Saccharomyces cerevisiae S288C: one gene and its partners. The main gene of each other region encodes a partner of the protein of the gene in region 3 in a complex. Each region holds a gene or a part of one and is shown on either strand. Other genes may lie near its edges.

Evidence for each region.
Region 1: RSC58 (region 3) and RSC30 share a complex: the UniProt entries of both Saccharomyces cerevisiae proteins name them as parts of the two forms of the RSC complex.
Region 2: RSC58 (region 3) and RSC3 share a complex: the UniProt entries of both Saccharomyces cerevisiae proteins name them as parts of the two forms of the RSC complex.

Annotation. Positions count from the first base shown.
Region 1 is NC_001140.6:209,493-219,834, forward strand, and holds RSC30 (Rsc30p), read right to left. Parts: upstream 8,343-10,342; coding exon 5,691-8,342; downstream 1-5,690. Other genes in the region: YHR050W-A (uncharacterized protein), read left to right, coding at 1-153; COX6 (cytochrome c oxidase subunit VI), read left to right, coding at 213-659; CIC1 (Cic1p), read left to right, coding at 1,356-2,486; YHR052C-B (uncharacterized protein), read right to left, coding at 3,027-3,200; metallothionein CUP1-1, read right to left, coding at 3,043-3,228; YHR054C (uncharacterized protein), read right to left, coding at 3,693-4,757; YHR054C-B (uncharacterized protein), read right to left, coding at 5,025-5,198; metallothionein CUP1-2, read right to left, coding at 5,041-5,226; peptidylprolyl isomerase CPR2, read right to left, coding at 8,734-9,351; mediator complex subunit MED6, read right to left, coding at 9,505-10,342. UniProt on the Saccharomyces cerevisiae protein: Component of the chromatin structure-remodeling complex (RSC), which is involved in transcription regulation and nucleosome positioning. RSC is responsible for the transfer of a histone octamer from a nucleosome core particle to naked DNA.
Region 2 is NC_001136.10:1,066,593-1,076,934, forward strand, and holds RSC3 (Rsc3p), read right to left. Parts: upstream 4,795-10,342; coding exon 2,137-4,794; downstream 1-2,136. Other genes in the region: cleavage/polyadenylation factor CFT1, read left to right, coding at 1-833; mannose-ethanolamine phosphotransferase GPI11, read left to right, coding at 1,139-1,798; peptidylprolyl isomerase family protein CPR5, read right to left, coding at 5,288-5,965; HNT2 (bis(5'-adenosyl)-triphosphatase), read right to left, coding at 6,154-6,720, 6,810-6,896; PFU1 (Pfu1p), read right to left, coding at 7,143-8,579; PMT7 (putative dolichyl-phosphate-mannose--protein mannosyltransferase), read left to right, coding at 9,273-10,342. UniProt on the Saccharomyces cerevisiae protein: Component of the chromatin structure-remodeling complex (RSC), which is involved in transcription regulation and nucleosome positioning. RSC is responsible for the transfer of a histone octamer from a nucleosome core particle to naked DNA.
Region 3 is NC_001144.5:200,037-210,378, reverse strand, and holds RSC58 (Rsc58p), read right to left. Parts: upstream 1,619-10,342; coding exon 110-1,618; downstream 1-109. Other genes in the region: DNA helicase RAD5, read right to left, coding at 1,879-5,388; YLR031W (uncharacterized protein), read right to left, coding at 5,594-6,154; YLR030W (uncharacterized protein), read right to left, coding at 6,298-7,089; 60S ribosomal protein eL15 RPL15A, read left to right, coding at 7,789-8,403; bifunctional phosphoribosylaminoimidazolecarboxamide formyltransferase/IMP cyclohydrolase ADE16, read left to right, coding at 9,064-10,342. UniProt on the Saccharomyces cerevisiae protein: Component of the chromatin structure-remodeling complex (RSC), which is involved in transcription regulation and nucleosome positioning. RSC is responsible for the transfer of a histone octamer from a nucleosome core particle to naked DNA.

The DNA of each region.
Region 1 (10,342 bases), on a different chromosome or scaffold from region 3:
GGTCCGGTCAAAGCATTAATAAAGATCAACAATTGCTCTTGCTTATCAAGGTGCCAGATCTCAAGGTTACCTCATTTCTTTACATTTCATCCACATTTTAGCACACTTATTTATTATTACAATTTGAAAAATTGTATCACTTCTGAGACTTAGTAGCGGAGATAAACAGCCGAACAATTGTATTTGACACATAAACTAATAAATATACAACAATGTTATCAAGGGCCATATTCAGAAATCCAGTTATAAATAGAACTTTATTGAGAGCCAGACCTGGTGCTTATCATGCAACTAGATTGACTAAAAATACGTTTATTCAAAGTAGGAAGTATTCTGACGCACATGATGAAGAAACCTTTGAGGAATTCACCGCAAGATACGAAAAGGAGTTTGATGAAGCCTATGATTTGTTTGAAGTGCAAAGAGTGCTCAACAACTGTTTTTCCTATGATTTAGTTCCTGCTCCTGCTGTTATTGAAAAAGCTTTGAGGGCTGCCAGAAGAGTCAATGACTTACCTACCGCAATTAGAGTATTTGAGGCTTTGAAATACAAGGTGGAGAATGAAGACCAATACAAGGCCTACTTGGATGAATTGAAGGATGTCAGACAAGAATTGGGCGTTCCCTTAAAGGAAGAGCTATTTCCAAGCTCTTCTTAATAATAAGGAAAAAGCTACCACACAACGTCTGTAATTTGTTGTCCTTTTTTTATTTGTGGAAAATTCCTCAATTTGAAATAAGATTCGTATTTATTTTGTAAAACGATTTTAGTTTTTATTTTTTTTTTTTCTTCCCTTTTACCTTATTATTTGTTTTACCCTTTATGGATATTCATCCACTCAGAAACTAATATATCAAAATCAACGATAAGATCACAAGAGGTGAAATAAGAAAAGTAAAAGAAAAATATTTAAATTTAACCATTATGATTTCCACTTTGTTTTCTCTACTCTATTACTTGAACAAACTTTATTTTTGGTAATGAGGGCTGGTCACAGATTACCTTTAATATCCTTTGTTAGTAGCTTTTTTGTGTTCTATTTCAGGAAAGAAGAATGGGAAAAATAATAAAACAATAAATAACTATATAAAAAACAAAAACCTAGAATATACCATTAAAGAATTACTATTCTATTCTGTGCTTCACCGTTGCGTCAATAAATGTGAAGTTGATGTCACTTCATACTAAAAAAATTAAAGACAATTTCCTGAAAAAAATTTTTCCACTGGAGCTCATCGCAAATTTTGAAAAGTAACAAAAAGCGTTTGTATACTGCATAAAGAATAGTGTCTGTTTTATAAGAAATATTAGACAGCAGGCAGATAAACCTACGTTCCAGACTATAAAGTATAAAATGGCTAAAAAGAGTAACTCAAAGAAATCTACGCCTGTAAGTACACCAAGCAAAGAAAAGAAGAAGGTTATTGAAAAGAAATCTTCCACAGCCATTCCTAGGGAAAGAGTTATTAAAGCTGTCAACGAGCTTATAAAATTCACTTCCAAGCCACAAGATGAAAATAATGAAGAAGGAAATAACGGTAAGAAAAACCTATTGGAAGATGATGAAGAAGAATTGAAGAAAGATCTGCAATTAATCGTAGTAAATAATAAATCATTCACCGGTACTTCCAAATCATTCAAATTGAAATTACTAAATGTCAAACATTCGTTTTACAAGCCTTGGAAAGAAGCCAGTGCAACAGCGGTTAAGGATTTCAAAGTTTTATTAATTTTGAAGGATTCTGATATTAAGAAAGTTTCAGAAGATGATTTATTTGATCAATTAGATTCAGAAGGAATCAAGGTTGATGAAATCATTTGCGGGAAAGACTTAAAGACCGTTTACAAGGCATATGAGGCTAGAAACGCTTTTATATCTCAGTTTTCTTTGATTTTGGCTGACGACAGTATAGTTACATCTTTGCCAAAACTTATGGGAGGCAAAGCCTACAACAAAGTAGAAACTACTCCTATATCAATTAGAACACATGCAAATAAGGAATTTTCCTTGACCACTTTGACGAACAATATCAAAAAGGTTTACATGAATCAGTTGCCCGTTAAACTTCCAAGAGGTACCACGTTGAATGTCCATTTGGGTAATTTAGAATGGTTAAGGCCAGAAGAGTTTGTAGATAACGTTGAATTAATTTCTGAACAGTTAATCAAAGCATACCAAATCAGATCCATTTTTATCAAGACCAATAGGTCGCCCGTATTGCCATTATACTATAACCAGGACGTTCTTGATGAACTTGAAGCTAAAAAGGACAAAATCGAAGAAACCCACGAAGATGACATGGTCACCATTGATGGTGTACAAGTTCATTTGTCTACCTTCAACAAGGGTTTGATGGAAATCGCCAATCCTTCCGAATTGGGTTCAATTTTCTCTAAACAAATTAACAATGCAAAAAAGAGATCTTCTAGCGAGCTTGAAAAAGAATCTAGCGAGTCAGAAGCTGTCAAGAAGGCTAAAAGTTAATTTGTTTCCTCCTTATCTATCTTTTCTCTCATTTTTTTCTTGTGAAGAAAAAAATTTGAATTTCATAGAGTGCGGTGCATATGTATATATCTATATATGTTTGAAGTGTATATTAAAAATAAAGTCATTATTTGAATATTGGTTTCTCGGTCTAAGAGCTTATACGTTTTAGACTGATCTGTTGTACTATCCGCTTCAAATAAATAGATCATTGAAAGTGACGGGGATAACAGCATTTTACCTTTAAAAGACGTTCTCATAATACATTTTAGGATTAATACATATGCTTTTTTTTTATTCGAAATCTGGGGATTCTATACAGAGTTGTAAGTTAGGCAAACTAGAATTTGGTAATAATATTTTATTCTTGGGGCGACATATGGAGATACTTTATTTCCTTTTCTTAATTATTAACGTATACCTATAAATTAACAAAGTATCTAAACAAAATACATAAGTGTACTCAAACTGAGTAGAATCGTCGATTAAACTTCCTTCTCCTTTTAAAAATTAAAAACAGCAAATAGTTAGATGAATATATTAAAGACTATTCGTTTCATTTCCCAGAGCAGCATGACTTCTTGGTTTCTTCAGACTTGTTACCGCAGGGGCATTTGTCGTCGCTGTTACACCCCGTTGGGCAGCTACATGATTTTTGGCATTGTTCATTATTTTTGCAGCTACCACATTGGCATTGGCACTCATGACCTTCATTTTGGAAGTTAATTAATTCGCTGAACATTTTATGTGATGATTGATTGATTGATTGTACAGTTTGTTTTTCTTAATATCTATTTCGATGACTTCTATATGATATTGCACTAACAAGAAGATATTATAATGCAATTGATACAAGACAAGGAGTTATTTGCTTCTCTTTTATATGATTCTGACAATCCATATTGCGTTGGTAGTCTTTTTTGCTGGAACGGTTCAGCGGAAAAGACGCATCGCTCTTTTTGCTTCTAGAAGAAATGCCAGCAAAAGAATCTCTTGACAGTGACTGACAGCAAAAATGTCTTTTTCTAACTAGTAACAAGGCTAAGATATCAGCCTGAAATAAAGGGTGGTGAAGTAATAATTAAATCATCCGTATAAACCTATACACATATATGAGGAAAAATAATACAAAAGTGTTTTAAATACAGATACATACATGAACATATGCACGTATAGCGCCCAAATGTCGGTAATGGGATCGGCTTACTAATTATAAAATGCATCATAGAAATCGTTGAAGTTTGCCGTAGTAATACCCAGATTATCAGATTCCAAATCCTTGTCAATAATTATACTCCTTTGGACAACTTCTCTTTCCATTAAAAAATCTGAAATCTCCTTAAATTTTAAATAGATTCTGTTCAGTTCACTAACGGGGAATTTCAAGAGAACATTTTTGTTCTTCGCCGACTGACTATAATCTGTAACATTATTGTTATCAGAGTTTCTCGCAAAATTTTGTTTTTTCTTGCTAAATCTCAGCATATATTTAATCAGATTCAAAACCTTGTTGAAACCTTTAATAGATTTGAAACTTCCGTTGCTATTCATTTCATCTCGTAAAAAGGATACGATAATTTCTATTTTTTTTAAAATTTCCAAAATCTTGTCATGAATCAATAGCAATTGAACATTAATCTCCTCATTTGAAAGATTTTTGTAAAATTCGTCATATAATATTACTTCACAACGTTGGAAAATAGCAAATGTGATTGCTATAAAATTCTGTAAGATTTCAATAAAATGATTTGCGAATAAAAATTCTTTACCATTAGAATGAAAGCGATTATTGCCGCTTGAAAATGACTTTATCGACTTTATGGGGAAGATAAAATTAAATGTTATTGAGTAAAAAATGTGCATATTAGAAATAATTTTCATCAGATCCTTTGCACATCTTTCAGAGTTCGAGGTCTTATTGTTGTTAGAAGAATGTTGAACTGCCATGGACAAAGAGGATTCGTTTTGAACAAAAAGGAAAAAATTTGTATAAACAATGGTATTGATAAAATTTAAAGTGTCTTTCCATTCTTTTCTGACTTCGTTGTCATGAAAATATAAGTCTACTGTATTACTCACGCCCATAGTCAAGGTTTCTAACAGACTTTCAATTTTGGTTAAATTTACTGGCAAGTAGAAAGGAACACCTTGCAGAATATTTATCAATTTTGCTTGCGTTTCCAGTAATTTTAAATCGTTAGCAATTAAAGGAATGTCGTTCGTATCAATAGAGGCAGGTATCGGAGATAGGTTTTCAGCAGCGGGTACCATGAATAGCTTTTTTTTTTTTTTTTATTCGAAATCTGGGGATTCTATACAGAGTTGTAAGTTAGGCAAACTAGAATTTGGTAATAATATTTTATTCTTGGGGCGACATATGGAGATACTTTATTTCCTTTTCTTAATTATTAACGTATACCTATAAATTAACAAAGTATCTAAACAAAATACATAAGTGTACTCAAACTGAGTAGAATCGTCGATTAAACTTCCTTCTCCTTTTAAAAATTAAAAACAGCAAATAGTTAGATGAATATATTAAAGACTATTCGTTTCATTTCCCAGAGCAGCATGACTTCTTGGTTTCTTCAGACTTGTTACCGCAGGGGCATTTGTCGTCGCTGTTACACCCCGTTGGGCAGCTACATGATTTTTGGCATTGTTCATTATTTTTGCAGCTACCACATTGGCATTGGCACTCATGACCTTCATTTTGGAAGTTAATTAATTCGCTGAACATTTTATGTGATGATTGATTGATTGATTGTACAGTTTGTTTTTCTTAATATCTATTTCGATGACTTCTATATGATATTGCACTAACAAGAAGATATTATAATGCAATTGATACAAGACAAGGAGTTATTTGCTTCTCTTTTATATGATTCTGACAATCCATATTGCGTTGGTAGTCTTTTTTGCTGGAACGGTTCAGCGGAAAAGACGCATCGCTCTTTTTGCTTCTAGAAGAAATGCCAGCAAAAGAATCTCTTGACAGTGACTGACAGCAAAAATGTCTTTTTCTAACTAGTAACAAGGCTAAGATATCAGCCTGAAATAAAGGGTGGTGAAGTAATAATTAAATCATCCGTATAAACCTATACACATATATGAGGAAAAATAATACAAAAGTGTTTTAAATACAGATACATACATGAACATATGCACGTATAGCGCCCAAATGTCGGTAATGGGATCGGCTTACTAATTATAAAATGCATCATAGAAATCGTTGAAGTTTGCCGTAGTAATACCCAGATTATCAGATTCCAAATCCTTGTCAATAATTATACTCCTTTGGACAACTTCTCTTTCCATTAAAAAATCTGAAATCTCCTTAAATTTTAAATAGATTCTGTTCAGTTCACTAACGGGGAATTTCAAGAGAACATTTTTGTTCTTCGCCGACTGACTATAATCTGTAACATTATTGTTATCAGAGTTTCTCGCAAAATTTTGTTTTTTCTTGCTAAATCTCAGCATATATTTAATCAGATTCAAAACCTTGTTGAAACCTTTAATAGATTTGAAACTTCCGTTGCTATTCATTTCATCTCGTAAAAAGGATACGATAATTTCTATTTTTTTTAAAATTTCCAAAATCTTGTCATGAATCAATAGCAATTGAACATTAATCTCCTCATTTGAAAGATTTTTGTAAAATTCGTCATATAATATTACTTCACAACGTTGGAAAATAGCAAATGTGATTGCTATAAAATTCTGTAAGATTTCAATAAAATGATTTGCGAATAAAAATTCTTTACCATTAGAATGAAAGCGATTATTGCCGCTTGAAAATGACTTTATCGACTTTATGGGGAAGATAAAATTAAATGTTATTGAGTAAAAAATGTGCATATTAGAAATAATTTTCATCAGATCCTTTGCACATCTTTCAGAGTTCGAGGTCTTATTGTTGTTAGAAGAATGTTGAACTGCCATGGACAAAGAGGATTCGTTTTGAACAAAAAGGAAAAAATTTGTATAAACAATGGTATTGATAAAATTTAAAGTGTCTTTCCATTCTTTTCTGACTTCGTTGTCATGAAAATATAAGTCTACTGTATTACTCACGCCCATAGTCAAGGTTTCTAACAGACTTTCAATTTTGGTTAAATTTACTGGCAAGTAGAAAGGAACACCTTGCAGAATATTTATCAATTTTGCTTGCGTTTCCAGTAATTTTAAATCGTTAGCAATTAAAGGAATGTCGTTCGTATCAATAGAGGCAGGTATCGGAGATAGGTTTTCAGCAGCGGGTACCATGAATGAAGACTGACCTAGAAGCGAATGTCTTGAGTAATACATTTTTTTCAAAAAATGGAATAACTTGAAATCTTTTATCTGGAAGCTTAACAGACAGCTCAAATCTTCGTCTAAACTTGATTTATGATCATCATGCATGTACAGAGATTCATAAAATTTTGTGATGGCAATAAATTTGATTGTCTCTTGGTCATAATATTCCAGGTTTATCAATGTGATTTGGCTTCGAATCAACCTCAAATTATTCATTAATGCCGAAACATGGTTATTAATAGCCTGCTTATTGAATAGGGTCATTGAATCGTTTAACAACAGTAGAAGCACAGTTAATTCGCCTAGTTTGGTCAGTTGAGATAAAGGAAGATCGACCGTTGAGAATGAAGGACAGGTATCACCATTTGGAAAAGAGTTATGAACAAATTCTAGTAAGAGGGTTTTGTCAAAGATTGGCAAAAATTCTTCAATATTCAGATTGTTAAGGGATTCAGAGTTTAGTGTCTCAATAATTATTGCTTTTGGTGGGAAGTTAACTTTGCAAACTTCCATATATTGTTGGTGATTTTTATTGTTAGGAGGACTTACTTTGAACTGATTAATATGGCAGATATCGTGCAAAATATTATAGAACTTGAAAAGATAATGATCTCTAAAAATGATGAAGTTTTTAGTGAAAAGGTAGTTGGGGGTATCCTTCAACGGTTTCACTTGGACTAAACTTTGCACATCTGTTATTGTGAGCGCTGTAAAGTATTTTTGTGAGGACTGAGAAGTCCTTGAAGTCTGATGATCAAATCCGGCTCTTTTACCGTCAACCTTGCCTTTCTTAGAATTCTCACCTGTTTTGTTAATTTTGTTTGCCGTGGTATTGTCGGCATTTAAATTCGATTTTTCTTTCAAACTTTTCAGTTGCAAGCTTTGTAAATCAAGCAATTTGTTTTTTAAAAAGTCTATCTCCTTGATTAATACTTCCTCTTGAGTAAACGGAGAAGTCATTAGATCGAAAACGGCCGAGTCTTGATTGATACCAACATTAAAAGAGTATGGGTTATCTGTATAGTCAAAACTTTGAGCGTTAACCAGTTGTAATCGTGTGTTATATTCTCTAATCTGATCCATGGAGGGCACATCTGGACTATCGCTTCTCACAATAGTGTTTCCATGAACATTACTACTAACGGTACTACTATTCTGACGAGGAGCAGTATTATTATTGGTGTTATTATTCTGGTAGCTAGCGGCCTTGGTCCACTGCATCGCAGTATCCACAGAGGGGTTGAACGAGAAGTTGAATGCCTCTATCGACGTTTGCATAATCGGATACTGCGTTTGAATCATTACGTTTTTCTGATTTACACCGTTTCCCTGACTAAAATGGTTGGAACCTTGGCCATTGCCGTGCGTGGACATCCCGGACGCAGAGGGCACAGCGACCATCTTACCAGGTCCATCTGGATAAAAACAGTCCGGCTTGTTATACTTGACGCAATTCCCACATATCGGTTTTGCCCTGTCGCACCCGATCTTTCTCTTCCTGCATTGGGTGCAAGCAGGCGGCTTCCTCACTTTTCTCACTTGCATGTCCATCATGATTAAAAACAAACGGCAAAGCTACGCACTAGTCACAGCAGACAACGACAATGCTCCTCTCATAAATTGCTAAGATACATTAAAAACAACAACTCTCTTCTTGTTCTTCCTCTCTTTGCATCATTCCTGCAAAATATCACACTACACGAGCTAGGATGTATAACCATCCTTAGTAGGACGCCAAGGTTATATTCAAAATGATATGATTTCCCCAATTAATACTTGCTGTTGCATTTTGAATCGGATGTAACTGGGACTAATGCTGCGCTAACCAGACGTACGTTCCGGTGGTCACAGTGCGGAACTGTTCCCACGTTCTCTAGTTAATTTACCTTTAACTATACATACTGAAATTGATATCTATGTATATAGTATGAAATATTGCATATACTCAAGAAGAGAGCTCAGGCGTCCACTCACCGCATTTTGCGATCTTGACCGCCTCGAGAGGTTTGTCATTCGCATCTCTGGACACGTGCTGTATGTAGTTCACCACATCCATGCCGTCCACAACCTGTCCAAATACCACATGCTTTCCATCGAGCCACGACGCTTCTTCCGTAGTGGTGATGAAGAACTGAGATCCATTGGTATCTTTACCACGATTAGCCATCGATAGTCTGCCCTTGCGATCATGCTTCAAAGTAAAGTTTTCGTCAGGGAAAGTATCTCCATAGATGGATTTGCCACCAACGCCAGTGCCGTCTGTGAAGTCCCCTCCCTGTACCATGAAGTTGGGAATCACCCTATGGAAAGTGGACCCGATGAACCCCTTTTTGGAATTAGTGGTGGTGCTTAACTTGTAGAAGTTCTTCGCCGTCTTAGGACATACCTTTCCGTACAACCCAATAACGATTCTGCCAACTTTCTCTTCACCATGTTCAATATCGAAAAACACCTTTTGTGTAATTACTTCGTCGTCCTGATCAATCAACTCACCCACATCAGATGCAATAACATTAACGCTAAGGAATAATAACAACCAACACCACAAGCCACTGAATTTCATTTTGTTTTCCCTTCGTGTCTTTTTCCTCTCATTTCTTTCCTTTTGGGGGAACTTCTTATGATGGGTACATCGATTTTTGAAGAAAACTGAAAAGTTGATTTCGCGGGGTTTTATAATATAGTACAAAGATATATGCAATTGCCATGGCAGTTCTCATATGTAGTTTGGGGTGGATCGAATGCTTGTGACCATTAATTTGTCCAACATCTCTGTAGTTATACCCATGTTACCGTTGCCAGTACGACCGGTACCGTTGTCTATAGTTTGTCCTCCTGTACCCATAGTGTTGACTGTCATGTTGACATTTGTGGTTGAGGGAACAGTCGCCATATTGGCACCGCCGGTAGGTCGTACACTGCTCTTGTTACTGCCCCCTCCAGCGTTGTTCCCGTTGGTGGCAGCCGTTGCAGTCGTGCTAGTGTCCGTAGGTACTTTATAGTGTACTCCTTGGGAAGGTTGAAACTCAATCAAGTCATACAAGCTCTCCAATGTGCTATTTAGATGGTAGCTCGTGGACATCAGCCTACTTTGCACAATTTTAAAAATTGTTGGCGATTGGTAAATGTTTGCACCAATTATGTAGTAGTCTTGCAATGGAATAATCTCTGGTCCCTTAGCGCTTCCCACACCAGAATTGTTTGTTCGTCTTTGCTTCCTGATAACCCAGAAGTCAGGCTCTCTTACGCTGCTCAATACGTATTCAGTACCATCTAACTTCATTAATTCCTCCTCCAGTTGCATATACATAGGATACTTGAAAAGGATTTGTCTTCTTGCCGGATCCACATAGGCAAACTCCTCTTCCAAGTTTCCATTCTTCCCATCTGGTAAGGTCATTATGTTTTGTGTCATATTCACGGCAGCATTAGGATCATTTAACTGGGAAAACTGCCTTTGCATTTTAATTACCTGATTATTCGACGTCTTATCGAAAAATGGTGATTCTGCAAAGTAATCAAGAACATTCTCAGTTCTCAAACCAAAAACTTGA
Region 2 (10,342 bases), on a different chromosome or scaffold from region 3:
AAGAGGTCAGTGGTACTGTATCTACTGTTTGTGAGGTTAGTGGAAGATTCATGATTAGTCAAAGCCAAAAAGTTCTAGTAAGAGATATCCAAGAAGATAATTCCGTCATACCAGTGGCATTTTTGGATATTCCTGTTTTCGTTACGGATTCTAAAAGCTTTGGTAATCTTTTGATAATTGGTGACGCTATGCAGGGGTTCCAATTTATTGGTTTTGACGCAGAACCATACAGGATGATTTCATTGGGCAGAAGTATGTCGAAATTTCAAACAATGTCGCTAGAGTTTTTAGTGAACGGAGGGGATATGTATTTTGCGGCAACAGATGCTGACAGAAATGTTCATGTTTTAAAATATGCGCCAGATGAACCCAACTCTCTTTCGGGTCAACGTTTAGTCCACTGCTCCAGTTTCACGTTGCATTCCACCAATAGTTGTATGATGCTTTTACCAAGAAACGAGGAATTTGGCTCTCCTCAAGTGCCATCGTTTCAAAACGTTGGTGGCCAAGTGGATGGGTCAGTCTTCAAGATAGTTCCTTTAAGTGAGGAAAAATACAGAAGACTTTATGTGATTCAACAACAAATCATCGATCGAGAATTACAGCTAGGTGGTTTAAACCCTCGCATGGAAAGATTGGCCAACGACTTTTATCAGATGGGTCACTCTATGAGGCCTATGCTTGATTTCAACGTTATACGGAGGTTCTGTGGATTAGCTATTGATAGACGGAAAAGCATTGCGCAGAAAGCAGGAAGACATGCGCATTTTGAAGCATGGAGAGATATCATAAATATTGAATTTTCAATGAGATCTTTATGCCAGGGTAAGTGAACAATACATATAAAGGATATTTAATGCTAACTAGCCCGATATATACATCTATCTATCACTAGGCATTCGAGTAGTGAATAAGAACCACTACTTGAAACACTAGATTTGTAACAATAACGCATGTATCATCGTACATTTTCGGAACTATTTACGTAACGCGGGGATGAGGAAAAAGTTACTTTTTGCACAGCAAAAAAAACAAATAAAGAACAGTTAGTGAAATAAAGCAAAAGTGCAAACGGTGCCTTTAATCAAAGACTTTGCAGGAACATAAACAAGTGCACTAAAGAAGGTCCAATTTAAATATGCCAGCTAAAAAAAGGACTAGAAAGACAGTGAAAAAAACCGTATCATTCTCCGATGACACAACATTAACAACGCACCAAAATCGTGAGAAAAAGAACGTAGATCATGATCGTCCACCTGTGTATGTGAGGAAAACCCCTCTGATGACATTTCCATACCATTTAGTAGCACTACTTTATTACTACGTTTTTGTATCTTCAAATTTCAATACGGTGAAGTTGCTAAGTTTTTTGATTCCTACACAAGTTGCTTATTTAGTTTTACAATTCAATAAATGCACAGTTTACGGTAACAAAATCATTAAGATCAATTACTCATTGACCATTATTTGTCTAGGTGTTACATTTTTGTTGAGCTTTCCCACAATGTTATTAACTATATTATTTGGTGCGCCATTAATGGACTTATTGTGGGAAACCTGGCTGTTGTCACTGCATTTTGCATTTTTAGCATACCCTGCAGTTTATTCTGTATTTAATTGTGATTTCAAAGTGGGATTATGGAAGAAGTATTTTATCTTTATCGTTGTAGGGGGTTGGATTAGTTGTGTTGTCATTCCTTTGGATTGGGATAGAGATTGGCAGAATTGGCCAATTCCTATTGTTGTTGGAGGTTATTTGGGCGCTTTGGTGGGCTATACTATCGGTGCCTATATATAATATCGGTAATTTAAAAATTTGTATATAAAAAAATATAAGTATGATAGAGGTAACATAAACTGGTCCTATGCACAATTGAAAAATCTATGACAAAAACTAAATGATCTTTATACCAAACCCACCTATATGCTATTTGTACCATCTTAAAAGAAGGTAATAACTTCCATACAGATAAATAGCTAACAACATTAAATATCTCCCACTCTCCTCATTCTTTTCTTTTCATAATTTCCTTTTTCTGATTTATTCATTCTATATAAAAAAATAATACAAATCCTCAGATTAAATAATAAATACTATAAAAGTCTCAACTTCTTCTTTAATTTGTTTGAGTCGCTTTAGCTACGAATAGCCTCAAAAACTTCGTTGAAATTCTCCTTTGTTAAACCGAAAGTATCCGAATTTGCGTCGCTATCAACAGGAGCTGCTGCGCCTAAAACTCCATTAGAAACTGTGCTATTTTTCCTCTGTTCATAAAAATCCGTTTTTATCAGAGATTCTGAAATTTTACTCAACTCGTGATTTAATTTAATCAACTGCTCTGCAGATATGCCAGAAAATCCGTTATTAATGGAATAATTTGAATCGGCGCTAGTCGTTACCTTATTCTCCTCAAGATTTTTGATATACTTGGAGATTGTCTTAATTTTAATAATCAGATTTTCGATGAGTTTATTTTGCTTTTTACAATTCTTGGTATAATCACTTAACAACATTGCAATTTTGTTGATAATTAAATGAATAACATTTTTATTCTTTATTCTCTTACTATTGTCGTTATTACTATGAATATCTGTTTGCTCACTGATTTCATTAGCATCATTCGTCCTCTTTGAAGAATCAAAAGACCTTTGATAGAGCGCCAAAAGCATTAAAACTAAAGTTTGCAGAACCACAATAGATTTATTGATGAATGTGAATTCATGACCAGCAAATTTAATATTGGCTAAGTTCGAGAAAACAAAGAACAAGGTCTCCCTCGACAATTCCAAAAAGTCTTCCAAAATTTCGTTAAATTTAGCATAATTTTTCAATGTTTCAAATTGCAATAAGAGGTAAAAGTTCAAATATAACATTGAATTCCTGTAGATTAGAGAATCCATGATATTATTAATTATTGAAGGAGTCGTTAAACATCCTTGGCTGACCTCGATATTCTTATTTTTCAAAAGCTTGATTAACTGTATAATTTTATCAATGGATAGTTGTTGATCTTTACTTTGCAAATATTTCATCAAGTTTACTTCAAAATCAATCAATTCAAAATCGTTGTTCAACAAAGGATCAATAATTGGGGTAGAATTTGTGAAAGGTTCAGACATTAGCAACGGCAATTGACCTAAGAAAAGGTGTCTCCAGCAGTAGTTCTTAAATATGAAATTCCAGGTCAAAATATGAGATTGATTTTGAGTTTCATGATTTAACGATAGTAAACATGCCATATGCATATCTTCGTCGTAATCAATTACGAAAGAGGACGATGACGACGTGTCCATCACAAATTGGTAATATTTCCACAAAGAAATAAACCGCAGGGTCTCTATATTACACATTGACCTTTTTTCAATTTCAAATCTAAGCGTTGTTAAATTAGACTTCAACAAAGGCAAGTAGTTGAATAACACATTGAATAATTGCAAGTGTTCATCATCTCTAAGAGGAATCAAAACCGTAGAATTCAACGATTCAAAAAGAATCAGGAGACAGAGAGTAATAAATCCTAGATTTAGTAGCTGATCATTGGTCACACTAAAAACTTGAAAAATAGTTTCAAAATCTTTAGAATTTGGCTTATTAATGGTGTTAGAAGGAAAAAGCTGCTCAACTATGGGTAATAGTCTCTTTGGTTTTAATATTGGAAGTATTGAATTCGTTTCCGTTATCGTGGATAAGTATTTGTTGATAAGGGTCTGTGTTATCGATTGTGAAGGAAACTTTAATATTTGAGATATGCCACTGTTGCGCTCAATACTGTTACGGCTTGCTACCAAATCGTGCAAAGGTCCATTAAATTGCGTTTCAATTAATATATTCAAGTCATTGAAGAATTTGAATAGGAAAGGATCACGTTCAATCAAATACTGAATCTGGAAGATAGAACTTTTATTTATATTTTTTGGTAACAGCCATAATCTGTTTCTACCTTCTTCTGAAATAGCAGAATTAAACACATTAAAAACTTTATTAGTATCCAAAAATTGAGGATCTAAATCCTTAAATTCATTAAGATGAGGTCTTCTTTCACTCTCTGGAATTGGCTTACCGTCCCCGTCCGTAACGCCGTCTTCACTCAGTTTTCTTTTCTTAATTGTCAAAAACTCCTCTTGGTTTCTATTGGAGTGTGAAGACTGCATTTGCGCTGAGGAATCCTGCTTGAGATCAAGATTTACTCCCGTAATTTTCTTACCTGTAATTTCTTGCAATTCCAGTAGTCTGCCTTTCAAGAAATTCATTTCATGATTGATGATTTCATCTTGTGTGTAAGGAGAGGTTAGCATATGAAAAATTGCAGGGCCTTGAACCCAATTGAGTGGAGTAGAAGATTCGTTTGCAGAAGTGACTGGCTTACTTTCCAAGGAAGGCACTGATTTTGGAATATATTGAGTGTGTTGTTGATTCAAGGTTGCATTTGCCGCAGATGATCTATTATTAAGTTGATTTTGAGCATTGAGCAGTTGCAGACGCGTGTTGTATTCTCTTATTTGCTCCAAAGAAGCCAGTTCTGGATTTTTCTGCAAAAGTGCAGCAGTTTCCTTGGAGACACGACGAGAAGCGTAATAAGAGTTTAAGTACGGACCGTTGGCTACTTGGCGTGTATTGGAAGAGGAAGAACTAGAGGGAACGTATTGTCCGGGAACGTCCGGATAAAAGCAGTCCATTTTATTATGCTTCATACAGTTCCCACAAATCGGCTTAACACGATCGCAGCCTATCTTCCTCTTACGGCACTGCACGCATGCAGGCGGTTTTTTCATTTTTCTACCACGAATATCCATCGTTGTTTTTTGGTTCTGAAATGCTATTTTTGTAGATAAGAGCTTAAGAAAATATCACAGAAACCTCGATTTTAAATATCTGCGTAGTATGGGGCAATTGCAGCAGAGCACCAATGACTTTGGTTTGAAAGCCGTGAGTTTTGATGAAATAATCTAATGTAAGCAGCTAATATATCTTCTCGGGCGAAAACGGGAAAGTGGTCTTACAAGCGTCTAACGGGCCGAATGAATATTGGTGAACTATGGCTATTTGCGAGAAGGTATAGCAGTGGAAGTGTCCAGAAAGCAGTATGTTCCTAATAATAAAGGTAGTTCTTGGTCTGTGTGATCCCAGCTGGTCAACAAGACCCACGTTGGTCAATTGAAATACTCTTGTGAAGTTGTGCCAGAAAAGGGCCATAGGGTAACATACTCGTTCTATGTGATAATCAACTGTTATAAGCACTATATAGTTACATAGCTGGCCTATACATCTCCTGAATAGTGATGCAGTTTAGAGTTCATCGTGGGCTGCTTCGCTAGCTTCCGCTTTGATCTCTTCCTGTAGCTTGGCGGCGTCTTTATTGTCCAAAGGAACAGTTTCCAGTTCACCACTTTCCACAATAATAACTTCCTTTACAGGCATATTTCTACTGTCGGTCTTAACGTTTTCAATGTAGTGAACTACGTCCATACCATCCAAGACTTCTCCAAAGACAACGTGCTTACCGTCCAACCATGGGCATGGGACGGTGGTGATGAAAAATTGGGATCCGTTGGTGTTTTTACCACGATTGGCCATAGACAATCTGCCTGGTTTGTCATGTTTGACATCAAAATTCTCATCTTTGAACGTGTTTCCGAAGATAGACTTACCCCCAATACCTGATCTGTGAGTGAAATCGCCACCTTGAATCATGAAGTTAGGAATAACGCGATGGAAGATAGAGTTCAAATAACCCATCTTAGGGTCCCTGGAAATGGTCAACTGGTAAAAGTTTTCAACGGTTTGGGGTGTGGTGAGACCATACAATCCCATAACAATTCTACCAATTTGTTTATCACCGTGATTAATGTCAAAGTAGACCTTGTGTGTGATCTCAGGATCTTCTGCCGTGTCCTCTTTCGCAAAAATGGCTGTTGTGAAGAGACAAGCAAATAAGGTAATAAAGGAAAAAAATTGAAGCTTCATAATTGCGGATATCGCTGTGCCTTTTGTTTATTGAATTGAAAGTAACCTTTACTGTTGAGTCTCCTCGAGGAAAGTAGTAAGGATGGTTTCATCTTTTTTTTCCTCTGCTAAAAGGGATTCGCTGCGAAACGAAAATTAACTTCCCTACTATTTTTTATATCGTAAGTATGAATCTATTATTTATTGAACTATAACCATTGTGTTAAACCAGGATCAGAAGATACAAATTCTTCTAGTCTGGCTTGAAGATCCTCAGCTTCTTTTTTCATTTCGGTTAAAGCTCGAACCTTCCTTTGACTGTCTGGCTTCAAGACATTAGGACCTTGTGAGAGTTCATCCCCGTCTACAGTGGCCGATGTAGAGTTATTTTTTCTTGCTTGCCTACCACCAACACCCAAATATTCGTCTCTTCTTCCTTGCCAATCAGTCAAAGTCCCATTACCATCCCAATGATCTAATTTATCGTATATTAAATCCCCTACATTGTTTATTTTATAACGTGGAATAATGTGTGTATGCAAGTGGGGTACCGACTGTCCGGCCTCAGGTCCATCTTGGATGGCAACGTTGATAGAGTCAGCCTTATATTGCCACTTAATAAATCTATGTATTAACTGTAAAGTCTTGAAATAATCTTGAGATTCAGGCATGGTCAGATCTGATAAGTTTAAAACCGTAGTTCTCAGTGGAACGATCAGTACATGTCCGGGTACAATTGGTTTCAAGTTTACCAATGCATACGTATATTTTGACTTCTGTAAAGAAGCAGAGATTATAAGGTCTCCATATAGTTAGTAACGCAATGGTGCGAATGGGGTACAAAAAAACATATGAGAGTGCATACATAGAAAACTTGTTCAGTTACAAGAAACTTGCTGAAATATATTGGCTTATTCATGCTTTTAGGTTTCTTTGTTTTGCTTAAGATCATTCTGAGCCCAAGATAGATCAATGGAGCTTCCTTTTTTTCTTCGCTTCTTACAATTGAGCAGAAAAGAAGATTCGACCATATCTTGAGAAACGTATAAACCAGGAAAATTACACATTCTAATTGGTGTCAATGGCAAAATATATGCAAGTTTGCATGTAAAATATTTTTTTTAGGCCGGATAAAATAATTCTTCCTAATAGTGTCTAAAAGAAAACACTGACTCTTATAAAACAAACAATGAACATTTTAATAATTAAGATATAAACTGCCATCTTGATCTTCCAAAGAGACTACCAAATCAGCGACTTCATCGCTTTTCATGTTCCACCCCAGCTTGGGAGAAACACAAATATTCTTTAGGCAGGGCAGCCTGGATTCCAGTATGGCTATAGTCAAGTCATCGGGATGAATCTTAGAAGCTAATCCCAAGGATCCGCTGCATTCTAAGTACAATGTTTTAAGAGGCCTATCATATTCCACCAATTTACTTAGCATGAATTCAGAAAAGCACCACTTAGAACAGTAATCAACCATGAGCTGCAAAGAAATTAAATTAGCACAGTACGTGAAGACATGGTCTAGGGAATTTTCTGCCAGAGATGGCATCGGATAATGAAAAAATAAATGCTTTAAATTATCACCGATCTGTGATAACAACGAATAAATAGACAATTCCGTTATTTGAGGACAATAAGAGAATTCTAAAGTTGTAATAGTTGTTGGCCATTTCGTATCAATCACAAATTCATTTGTTATACCTCCACTCAATTTCAAGTACCTGAGATTCTGTGGCCATTGAATATCTTGGAACCCTTGGCAGTCAATCGACGATCTGGGAAAAGATAAATGCGTTAATTTAGTGAAATTTTTAATGGCAGAAAATAACTCCTTCAGCTTAACTGTTTCCGATACTAAACCCAAGTCTAAAAATTTCAAATCATGACACGATTTCAATGAAATCAAAGGCGCGTAACCAAAGCTTGTCTGTGGTGCGATGAATTTAGTTAGGTTAGAACAGCATCGTCGTAAAAGCTTGGAGACAAATGAATTTCTACCACTTTGTAAAATTGTAGACAAGTTCAACTCAAAAACATAGTGTCCTAAATTCTTCTTTTTATTTATGATTATTGTATCAACAAACCCGTTGAAATTCTTACTTGTTAACGCTGGTGCATAATAAAGCTTTGGTAGACACATGGCGTACCAGTTTCTGCAAACTAGTAAGTAGTTCATATTTATACCAGTCGTAGTTTTTTTTCCATTAGCAGTTTTATTTAATTTTTCTTCTTTCTCTGGTATATCAAGATAATGAATTATTCTATGCTGTATCTCCCATGGCAAAACCATCTTTACTGATACTGAATGCATCCTCGCTTCCTCACTCTCTATGACTTTGCCATTTTTTTCTCCTTTGGAGGACGATGTCGATGATGACGATGGCGACTGCTTACGTCCTTTTTTATCCTTTTTTTCATTACTCAGTCGTGTCAATTTCACTATAGTATCATTGGTTTCATCATAGTAATAAGACCCCTGTGGAGTCTCAATGAGTTCTGCATCCTCCGGTATAGTGATAGTGAATTCTTTAGCCTTATTATCATTTCTTGTAGAGGAGAAACCCTCTCCCGCCACGTACTTCCTGTAAGGAGCCTTGATTTTCTTGGGTCGTGATTTGTTTGCCATTACTGAGTACTGTGGTTGATATGATTATGTGTTAGAGCTGTTGCACATGTTTGTCGATGTACAAATCTTGACGATGCCGTCATATTACTCTCAATACTAGACACATCTTGTATTGACAACCCTTACCCCTCATGAAGAGGTAACCCGGCCGCAGGGCTTTAACAATAAAATAGAGACTATCATTCAACAATTACACAGTAGAAAAAAGTCAGAAGATTACTAATCTCGATCTTAAGTCTATTAGTCAATTAAATGTGGCCTAGGATTCAACTAAAAATATAGTAGTAGTGAAAAAACAAATGTTCCAACCGAGGATCGAACTCGGGACCTTTGCCGTGTGAAGGCAACGTGATAGCCGCTACACTATTGGAACAATATTACGGATGACAGCTTAGGATTCATAAAGAACTAATAAAGGTGTGGCAATAAAAATGGTGCAGCAAGTCTCAACTTTACTGCTTCTTATAGTTACTTCCTGTCGTTTTCATCACACTAACCCTTTGTTTCATTGTGCTCCCCTTCCCTTCCTTTCAATATTGCTTCCTACATCGGTCACTCTTACTTTGGTAATGAAGTAATGAAGAAAGGAAAAATAGAAAATCGAATACTAAAAATGTTATTATTTAAGGAGAATAAGAACGTAGACACTTAAGGGCGATAGTGTTTGAACAGAAAAAAATTAACTTACAAAACATGAAGGACTTGAGATTACAGGGGCCCTACAGAAAGTACATTCCCTATAATATTTTCCAACAATGTGGAATTGGTCACTTAAAGACGCTTGATTATATTTTCGCGTTTTTGATTGTTATTACCAATTTCACATTAATATGGAAATCGCACTCTTCTTCATTCTGGAACCGACCATGGGACAATAATAGTGAACAAGAACTTTCCCAATTAATTCAGTTTTACCTAGACAAGGCTTTTTACATCCATGAATTGCCACCATTTACAATACAGTTCTACTCCATTATTCGAAGATTAAAGATCGCAGAAAATTTAAGATACGTTTCTTTGTTTTTGAATTCATCGACTTTAGGTTTTCTTTTCCTGATAACAAGGAGAATCAATTGCTCTCGTTTAATTTCAGCAACAGGTTTGCTGATATTATCCAACTGGGAAACTTTCAGAAATGAGGGCACTATTATATCATTTGACAGTTTAGAATGGTGTCTGTTCTCAGTAGTAATTTACAGTTTTATAAGCATTTCAATTGCAAAACTGGGAACTACGAATTGGTTTGCTAATGTGATTACATTATCTATTTCTTTAGGGCTGGCAATCTCTTCTAAATTTATTGGAATTGTCACTTGGGCCTTCGTAATTCTTTCTTTTGTACGTCAATTTGATAGACTGATAAGCGACGTTAAAGTTACGACCATCCAAATAATAAAATTTGTCATTCTCTGTCTATTATTCGTTTTGATTATCCCTGGTTCCATCTTCATAATAAGTTATTCGAACTTACTTTCGAATTTTAAGACAGACACGCCACAATTTTCAAAATATATGAGCACATATTTCAAGTCCTATTTAAGAGGCCCTCAAGTACAACCGAGTCGATTGTACTATGGATCAACGATCACATTACGTCATTTAGATTCTATGGTCGGATATCTTGCTTCTCACGATATTTCGTATCCATCAGATGTTGACGAACAGTTAGTAGCGTTATCATTTGAAGAATTCGCGGCAGACAATGAATGGTTAATAGAACATCCTACATTAAATTTGAGTTTTTCTGAGGTATACCATGCTGA
Region 3 (10,342 bases):
ATATCAAAATATAAACATACATTAGTCAAAAAAGACTTGATGAGCTTTCATGAAACTAAAACAAAGATAATTCATTATTTATCTTTGATTCCACTACCGCTGACACTATTTATTTCTTGTGTTTCCGTTTACGACCTGGTTGCGCCCTTACCACAGGTATGCTACCATTATAGTTTGTTTGTAATACTGGAAAGGCCCTTACATTGTTTATAGGAACCTTGGAAACCTTCTTTGCTAAGATAACCTCCTTTAGTATTCTTTTCACTTTGAAGTATAATTCTCGTTCCTCCGTAGTAGGCTTCAAAACTTTATTTAAAATCCTCTCCTTTCTAAGTCTTTTAAGTTTTAAGAGAGAGTCTGAAACCAACTTATCTGGTGTGCCATTTCGAAAGTTCTCAATTTCGTCATCTCCAATGTAATTAGATGGTGTCCAATTATATAAGTTTTGAAGCTTGATTATGAATTGTTCCTTATTCTCAGTACTCTCTGAATTTGCAGAAGCGATAGTCGCATCATTATCATTATCACCACCATCGTCCTGAACGCCATTGCTTTTGCCGTCAACATTTTTGTTGTTTTCATCGTTCTGCTTCCTGTTTATGCCTTCTTCATTCGTGTTCAGTAATTCTTCTTGTTTTACTTTCTTTTCATTTTTTTCATACAAGTCCATATAACCAATTCTTTCAAGCCAAATAAGACCCCTTGTTGTCGAATCCACAACGGTGCCGTTTTCATTAAAGGAAGGTGCCCAAGAATTATAATTACCATATTTTAGCCAGACGGTTGTAGGTAAAGCATACCAATTTGGATGCAAAAATCTAGTCATCATTTCAGTTGGTGGTAACGTAGGGTCCGGAATATTACTAGTATTAGCGCCTACAAATCCTAATCTTGGAGCTTCGTTTTCTATATCAGTTTGAGGTAAGACGTTGTTTATTTTGAAGTTTGTATTAGGAAGTTCATGAGGTCTTTTGTCAAGATTAGATTTAGAAATTATCGAAGAAAAAAGGTCCATATCCTTCGTTCTTATCTGATATGTTTGAGAAATCGGCACTGTGTAATTCATAGAAATCTTAATAAAATCATAAGAGATTATTTTGTCTAGTTCTGTTGCATCGTCATCGTCGTATTCATCCATCTCGTTTCCGCTCAACAACTTACCACTTCTTGATTTAATATTATTAGTTTGCGTTAGAGCAATTCCTATCCTACAACATTCTCGTAATAAAAGCTCTGAAGAAAATTTGTAGAACTTGTCGACTAATTGGTAGTTTCTTGTACCCTGAGGATAAAAGTGAATGAGGATTGTACAAACCAGCTTAATGTCGTGATACAGCTTATAAAACCCACCTTGTATGGGTTCGTACTCTCCATTTTCAAACCTCTTATTGATAGTTGTCAAAACTAATTTATCTTCATTACGTATCAAACCTTCAGAGTTACTTCTATTTTTAATGAATTTACAATATGATTCATATATCTTATCCGGATTTTTCTCAAAGAACTTGGCTGGAAAACTTTCATCTACTACATGACATTTCACAGAGGCAGCATTCAAAATGGATTGAACATTTACCAAAAAATCTACTAGTTTATTTCCACCTACACTTTCTGTCATAATGAAAACTTTCGATTTTCAAAATTATCTCTTATTTGATCCCGACTGATGATGATTTTCTTCGTCTTCGTATTTCTATCGTCCATGCCTTATGGCGCTGTTTTATTTTCTTAATTGTTTTTTTAATAATTGCAACTTAAAAATACGGGTAACGGAAAAGGAAGATAATAGAAGTTGCATGAAGTAGCTGAAGAATAATTAGTTCTTTCGGGTTGAAAATAATAATAAATAAAGTCTTTATATATGAGTATGTGGTATGACTATTCAAACAGCATCTGGATTTCTTCAATTCTCCTTTTTCTTCTCTCGTCTTCGTCTGTGTCCATGGCCTCACCGATGGTTCTCTTCTTTTCTTGAATGCGTAGCATTTTTTCTTCTATGCTATCTTGTATGATAAATCTCATAACTTTGACGCTGTTTGTCTGGCCAATTCTATGCAGTCTATCGATTGCCTGATCTTCCATACTGGGCGACCACCATGGGTCCATCATATAAGCGTGGGAAGCACACGTTAGATTCAAACCCACGCCACCAGCCTTCAGCGAGAGTAATAGGATTTTTTGCCTGCTATAGTCTTTAACGGCAAAATCTGCTAATACACTAGTTCTTTCTTTTAATGAGAGACGTCCATCGAATTTATAAATTTTTGCAACATCTTTTGAGAAAGTATGAGTTAGCTCTTTCTCCAGGATATCCAAGTATGTAGAAAATTGGGAAAAAATGACAACTTGTTCGCCTGCCGAACTATCCTGTAGCAATTGAAGCTCCTTCAATAAAGCAGTGATTTTGCTTGATTTGGAGGCTGGTGAATATGGTTTGAATTCCAAATTTTTCGAGTTGCTATTCGTTTGTACCAATGCCAACAACCGACAAGCGTCTATTTGGTTACGGCAATTGGGGCACTTTAAACCCAAATTCTTACTGTTCTGAAACTCAATATATTCAAATAAACATTTCTCACAAAAACTGTGGCCGCATTCTGTAAATAAAGCCTTGTCCAAATCCATAGGTTCCGTTGTGCAGATGGAGCACTCTAAGGACTGAAACGATTTATTGTCTGGATATTTAACTTTTAATCTTTGTATCATTGCATCTAATTCCTCCTTAGAAAATGAGTTATCGAATCTCTCGGAAACAACACGCATTAAAGAGTCAAGCTCCACCGTTTGTTCCGTAACCAATTTATTATTTTTAGATAAATCCTCATCGTTCTCATCTTGACTCCCAATAAGACCGGGATGGCAACAGACTTGCCTCAATCTTAAAATATGGACAAGGATAGTGGAGTACTTTTTCAATAAATCACCGCGTGCAATACCCGATTTAACAGAAACTTCAGCCTTATCCAACAGAAACTTGTATAGAAGATCTTGAGATTTACTGAAGGGAAGTCTTTTAATAACGACCTCCTTTGGTGGCAACTCTACTAATGGCTTACCATCTTTATCTTTCATTTGTTTTGTCCTTCTTAACAATACGGGTTCCAGAATTGCATTCACCACATCAAATGCTTGTTTGTAATTTTTACTCTCAAAAGGCGTTGATACAAAGGTCTTCCAGTAATTAATTTGCCGCCAGGGATCTAACTCTAAAAACTTAACCAGACTGTATAAATCGTCAAGCCTGTTAATAATTGGTGTTCCTGTTAAAACCCATTTACATTTGCCTTGTAAAGCCATGACTGCTTTAGATGTAACTGTCGTTCTGTTTCTAATGTTATGACCCTCGTCGATTATTATGCGATAAAAATTGACAGAAAATAAGCCTGAAGATATATTGACGTCCTCATCTGTCATCCTTCCCTTGGAATGTTTAGTCCATTCATTTTGAACAATACCATATGTAGTAAGGACTACAGTTGGAGGGGTTTTTGTCTTGGTTAATAGGGTTTTCAAACTGGAAACATTCCCACCATAATACACCTCATGATACATATCGGGGGAATTATTAGCTTTTGTAAACTCGTTACTCCACTGCGTTAACAAAGACATTGGGACCACGATTAGCGTTGTTTTTGAAGCATATGGTTTCTTATTATCTTGCCAAGTGCTTGGAAGATTATCTGAGACTGCTGTGTTCTCAATATCAAACAGTTTCTTGTCAACAACATCACTATCGTGAGGACAAGATAAAACTAAAGAATACGCTGCCACTGTTTTACCCAACCCCATTTCATCTGATAATATGCCACCCTTTATCATAGTTTTTAATATAGGTTTTGCTAGCGAAAATTCACCAGAATGTAAGTTCGCATAAAAGAATATGCCATCTTCAACGTTTACATGGTCCTGCTGCAAATTTTGAGCTGCCCACGACATATCATTTGGCCATTTGAACTGCTTCCATAATGGGTTTATCATATTAGCACCCGTTTCTGAAGCCTCACCATCAGAGGCTGCTTTGGCAAACTCTTGCTCCCTCCTTAGCATCCAAGTAAGACCTTGCTTTTGATAATTTCTTAGTTCTAGCTTGAAGACATCGCGAGAAGGTTCTGTTTCAGGCAAACTTTTTAAAGATTCTGATGATTGTGCGGCCTTATAAAATGTTTTCAATTGATTCAAGTTCATTGTTTCTTCTTCGTGCTGAGTATCTCGGAGATTGTTATGGACTTCAGTCACTTGATTAGAGCAAATCTCGTCGTTATCTAAATCAATGATTTCGGGGTCACTATTAAGCTCTATTTTATGCTTTTCTAATGCCTTCTGCTCGTCCAAAATAGGCTTTAGCCTCAATTTATCAAATAACTTTAGTAGAGCCAGTCTTTTCGAGCGGCTTTCTAGCTCTTCATCAGTTTCAGTCAATGTTCTTCCAAAATTTCCATTGTCTTTCTCTCTTTTATTTCCTCCCTCTGTACGTCTTCTTTTCATCAAGGATTCTCCATCATTACGTTCCTCAAAAATGAGAGATGTTAAAAAGCAATCCAATTGTAGAATAAAGCTATCACCTATACTCAACCGTTTATTATCACAAAAAATCAATGTAACTTCAAAACTTATTTCGTGTGAACTTAAAAGAGGGTATAGTATTTGAGCAATGTCTTCCGAAACTCTGCCAATTTCTCTATCATATTGGATATCAAAAATTCTTACCAAACTAGCCATGGACGCTTTCTTTCTACCACGTGAGTCATATACTTTAGTAGCAGAAATCTCTTCACTTGATCTCTTTAGCTTCATCTGAGAGCCGTACTTCAAGGGCCTGACGGTGGGTCTGGTAGCCATACCAGTGACTTGCAAAGCACCTATAAATCTTTTCCAAGTAACTTTATCTTCTAATCGTGTTTGGTTTCTGAACCCGTATATTCTTCTTCTTTTAGGATGGAATGAAGATGGGGACAAGGTTGAATTTGAGGTATCTGAGAGTGTATTTAGTTGATTCGGGGAAGACGGTATTTTGCTGATAGACGTCCCGCTATTGTGATCAAAGTAATGTGATAATGCTAAAGAGAGCCCTTCCTCCTGACTGCCGAATTTTTCATTAAGTTCCATCACAAGATCCTTTGGCATTTCTGGAATAATCCTTAAAAGCTCTGTAATAAACTGATTCTGGCCTTCTTCTTCTATTTCTCGCCTGACTGGCACAATAGATCGGTCTCCCTCTCCTTCTGTTGTATCACTCACTGATACAACAACATCATCATCATCATCATTATGACTATTTGCAAATAAAAACGACTCTTTATTCTCAGATTTGAAGTTTAACGATGTTTCTGAAGTGTCAAGGTCATCGTTAAAAAACCTCTTCCTTTCTTCCTGTTCAATATGACTCATATTGTGATACTGTAAGACTTTAGGTGTGTTTCTAAGGCCTTTTGATAATGTAACTTTGTAGATAATTTACTTTCAAGTGAGCAATGCGCTTAGCAGTAAGGAATAATGTGTGGAAAAGTTAAGGGTTTATGACGCGTAAAATTTTCAGCCAGACGACGCGCCAACTAACATGTAAGAAAGTAATAATTTATGAAAATTTAACTACTTATTGATTACTTAATCTTCTAATACAAGTATTTTTTGTTTCTAGAATAGAATTCAATCTATTTATCCGTGCAGAAAGGTCCAGAATGAGGGGTTTTACTTCATTTTGATTTACAAAGCCTTGCTCTTCTGCAGTTAATCTTTTGGATTTCTCTCTGATTATCTCAGAAAGAAACTCTATTATCACTGAACTTTTCTTTCTTCTCTCATTTTCCAACATCAGAAAAAGCAATTCGTTGTCAGTGTCCTGCGATAAAGTTCTTAACTTTTTCTCCAGGTCTTGTCTTCTTTTGATGGACTCTCGTACCCGAAAGCAAAGATTATTTAGTTTGGCTAATTGAAAATTTCTTTCTTTAATAGCAGCTAGCTCGCCTCCTTGGATTAACTCTGATGCAGATTCAAATTTAGATTCAAAGCTCTTTTCCAAAAACTGTAAAGTGTTCCATTTATCCCTTAAGGGATCATCATGCTTTTCAAATTCAAAGGCATCTAGAACATCAGAAACCTTAGTACCATGAAAGTCGATATTGGGATAAGAAGTTCTCGTATTTAAGACCGGCATAATAGGAGTTACTGGAACTGATGTGTTTACAGATGTAAAACCATCTGTTTCACTCAACTTCTTTTCAAGTTTGTTAATATTATTCTTAGCTTCAGCCTTCCTATGCTTATTTAGTATGTTTTCGAGGCGTATAATCTCAGTGATTAATCTGTTTTGTTCCCTTTGAAGATTTTTTTTTTTTCCTTCATCGAAGCTACCTTTATATTTTGGGCTGCTGAGTCAAACCGTTCTTCGCCAGATTGCAAATCCTCTCTTTCAGTCAAATTACCACACGTACTAATCTCTAAAGGGCTATGTTCATCTTCACCCGGTTTTAACGAAACGAAGCTGTCAGAAGAGCGTTTGTTTTCCGCCAAAGAAGTGTTTTTAAATGAAGAAAGCTCAGAATTGATATTGCCCTGCTCCAACACTTGTATAGGGGGGGTCTCTTCAAAGGAGAACAGGCCATACCTTTTGGAATCTCCTTCAGGACTCTTTTCATGTTCACTAGTCAGGTTTTCTCGGACATTCTGCTCGTTAAGATTATCAACTTCACCCAGGAGGCCTTCTCCCCGGTTACGTGCCTCCGATTTTACGTCACCGATTGACTTTATGCTATTCTTTCGAGACAATGGCCTCTTTTTAAAGAAAGTACTCACTCTCTTGATTAACCCAACAGAATTTTGACACTCTTCATTTGGATGTTCCTCAAAACTTAATCTCTGTTGAGCCACATTTCCTGAATATCTTTGAGTTGAGTACTCTTTATTTTGCCAACAATCATGGATAACCGGATGCTGCGGCAAGTCCATGTCCCGAAAAGTATTAGCTACCAACGTCATCTCGACATGGGGAGCGGGCTTTGTGATCATTTGTTTTGGAATCGAATAATGGATAATCCTTTTTGGAATGATCGGTGTCTCTTGAACATACTCCATAATTTGTTCACCTTCCATCTCATATATTACATATAAGGCCACACACAGACACAAGCTGAAACGAAAATATCTATAAATATACACTTCTTAATTTGTATTCAAGATATTCTTATCAAAGCACTTATTTTTTCATTATATTTCTATATTGATTTAAGGACGGTACGCTATTTTCTTTGTACCTTTTACTATGCATAAAAAAAGGGGAAGTGTTTAACAATCGACACTTACTTAATATGTTTTGCCGCCCTTCATAAGAGGGTGTTTCTAAAATTTATTGGGCAAGAATGAGATGGACTCGCACCCTACATGACGTTTAAATATTTAGTGTTAAGGTTCAGAACATGCACCAGGTGCGACATGTGTTGCGATTATCATGACAATGTCTCTATCCGAGATGCATTTGTAGTATCAATTGATGCGTATTATGACATGATTTACATAGCATACATCGTCAAACATGATATTATATTCTTTTTTTGATAAATGTACGGATTTAAAGCTGTCGAATATATTTTCTGAAATTTCTTGGAGCTGACGCAAAATTTTCAAAGGTGCTAAAATTTTTCAAGATTTCTCACTTTTGCTTGGTAACAAAGAATGATGGCATTGCATTTTTACCACCGGTACATTTAACTGCTATTTCTCACGTTTCTTTCCCTATCCTTAAGTAATTCTTTTACAATCTAAGAAAACCACGATCAAACAAATAAATCAGCAATGGGTGCCTACAAATATTTGGAAGAATTGCAAAGAAAGAAGCAATCTGATGTTTTGAGATTCTTGCAAAGAGTCAGAGTCTGGGAATACAGACAAAAGAATGTCATTCACAGAGCCGCTAGACCAACTAGACCAGACAAGGCTAGAAGATTGGGTTACAAAGCTAAGCAAGGTTTCGTTATCTACCGTGTCAGAGTTAGACGTGGTAACAGAAAGAGACCTGTTCCAAAGGGTGCTACTTACGGTAAGCCAACTAACCAAGGTGTCAATGAATTGAAATACCAAAGATCCTTGAGAGCTACCGCTGAAGAAAGAGTTGGTCGTCGTGCCGCTAACTTGAGAGTCTTGAACTCCTACTGGGTTAACCAAGATTCTACTTACAAGTACTTCGAAGTTATCTTGGTCGACCCTCAACACAAGGCTATCAGAAGAGATGCTCGTTACAACTGGATCTGTGACCCAGTTCACAAGCACCGTGAAGCTAGAGGTTTGACTGCCACTGGTAAGAAATCCAGAGGTATCAACAAGGGTCACAAATTCAACAACACCAAGGCTGGTAGAAGAAAGACCTGGAAGAGACAAAACACTTTGTCCTTGTGGAGATACAGAAAATAAGCTGGTTGATGGAAAATATAATTTTATTGGGCAAACTTTTGTTTATCTGATGTGTTTTATACTATTATCTTTTTAATTAATGATTCTATATACAAACCTGTATATTTTTTCTTTAACCAATTTTTTTTTTTATAGACCTAGAGCTGTACTTTTATTCTGCTATCAAGCAAACCCCTACCCCCTCTTCTCAATCCTCCCCTCAGGCAGAACTTATCTACCTGTATCAAGGAGCGGACGAGGGAGTCCTAATTGTTCTACGTATACCAATGCTAGCAGCTTACATAGGTGGTGGCACTACCATAATACTTATATATAATATCTTTACGCTCAAGTAAATTTCTCCGCCGCATAAATTAACACCATGTTCTTTTTAGTCGCACCTTATTTTCTTGTATTTTTTTTCTTTCCTTTTCTTCCCGTTTTTCCTTATTAGAGCCATTAGATAAAACTCAAGAAAAGCAAAAGAGAGGGCTATTTCCACTTTAAGAATAAGCCTTAATAATTGGCAAATAGATCGTCCTTTTTTCCAGTTTTCAGCATTTGTGTTTTTTTCTTGCTCTTTTTAGCGATTAGATAACATTCAAGATCTAATCAATACCCCATTCCAAACAAAGAATCCAAATATACCATAAATAGGGACAAAAAACAAAAGAGCTAAAAATGGGCAAATATACCAAGACTGCGATCTTGTCAGTTTATGATAAGACAGGTTTATTAGACTTAGCCAAGGGATTGGTAGAGAACAATGTTCGTATCCTAGCATCCGGTGGTACGGCCAACATGGTCAGAGAAGCTGGTTTTCCGGTCGACGATGTTTCTTCAATTACGCATGCACCAGAAATGCTAGGGGGTAGAGTCAAGACTCTTCACCCTGCTGTGCATGCAGGTATTCTTGCCAGAAATTTAGAGGGCGATGAAAAAGATTTAAAAGAGCAGCACATTGATAAGGTGGATTTTGTTGTATGTAATCTATATCCGTTCAAAGAAACTGTGGCTAAAATTGGTGTTACAGTTCAAGAAGCTGTAGAGGAGATCGACATTGGCGGTGTGACTTTGTTGAGAGCAGCCGCAAAGAACCATTCCAGAGTGACTATTCTTTCAGACCCTAATGACTATTCTATCTTTCTGCAAGACCTGTCTAAGGACGGTGAAATTTCTCAGGATTTAAGAAATAGATTTGCACTTAAGGCGTTTGAACATACGGCCGATTATGATGCGGCCATTTCTGACTTTTTCAGGAAACAGTACTCCGAAGGGAAAGCCCAATTACCGCTAAGATATGGTTGTAATCCCCACCAAAGACCTGCACAAGCTTATATCACTCAGCAGGAGGAGTTGCCCTTCAAAGTGCTCTGCGGTACACCAGGATATATAAATCTTTTGGATGCCTTGAACTCATGGCCCTTAGTGAAAGAGTTATCTGCATCATTGAACTTGCCTGCGGCAGCATCGTTCAAGCACGTTTCTCCAGCAGGTGCTGCTGTGGGACTTCCATTATCCGATGTGGAAAGACAAGTTTATTTTGTGAATGATATGGAGGATTTATCACCATTGGCATGCGCATACGCTAGGGCCCGTGGTGCAGATAGGATGTCATCCTTTGGTGATTTCATTGCATTGTCCAATATTGTAGATGTCGCCACTGCAAAAATCATCTCTAAAGAAGTTTCCGATGGTGTTATTGCTCCAGGGTATGAACCAGAGGCATTGAATATACTATCTAAGAAGAAAAACGGAAAATACTGTATTTTACAAATCGATCCAAACTATGTTCCTGGCCAAATGGAATCCCGAGAGGTTTTTGGCGTAACGTTACAACAAAAGAGAAACGATGCGATCATAAACCAATCCACTTTCAAAGAAATTGTCTCCAAAAACAAAGCACTTACCGAGCAAGCCGTTATCGATCTAACTGTTGCTACGCTGGTTTTAAAATACA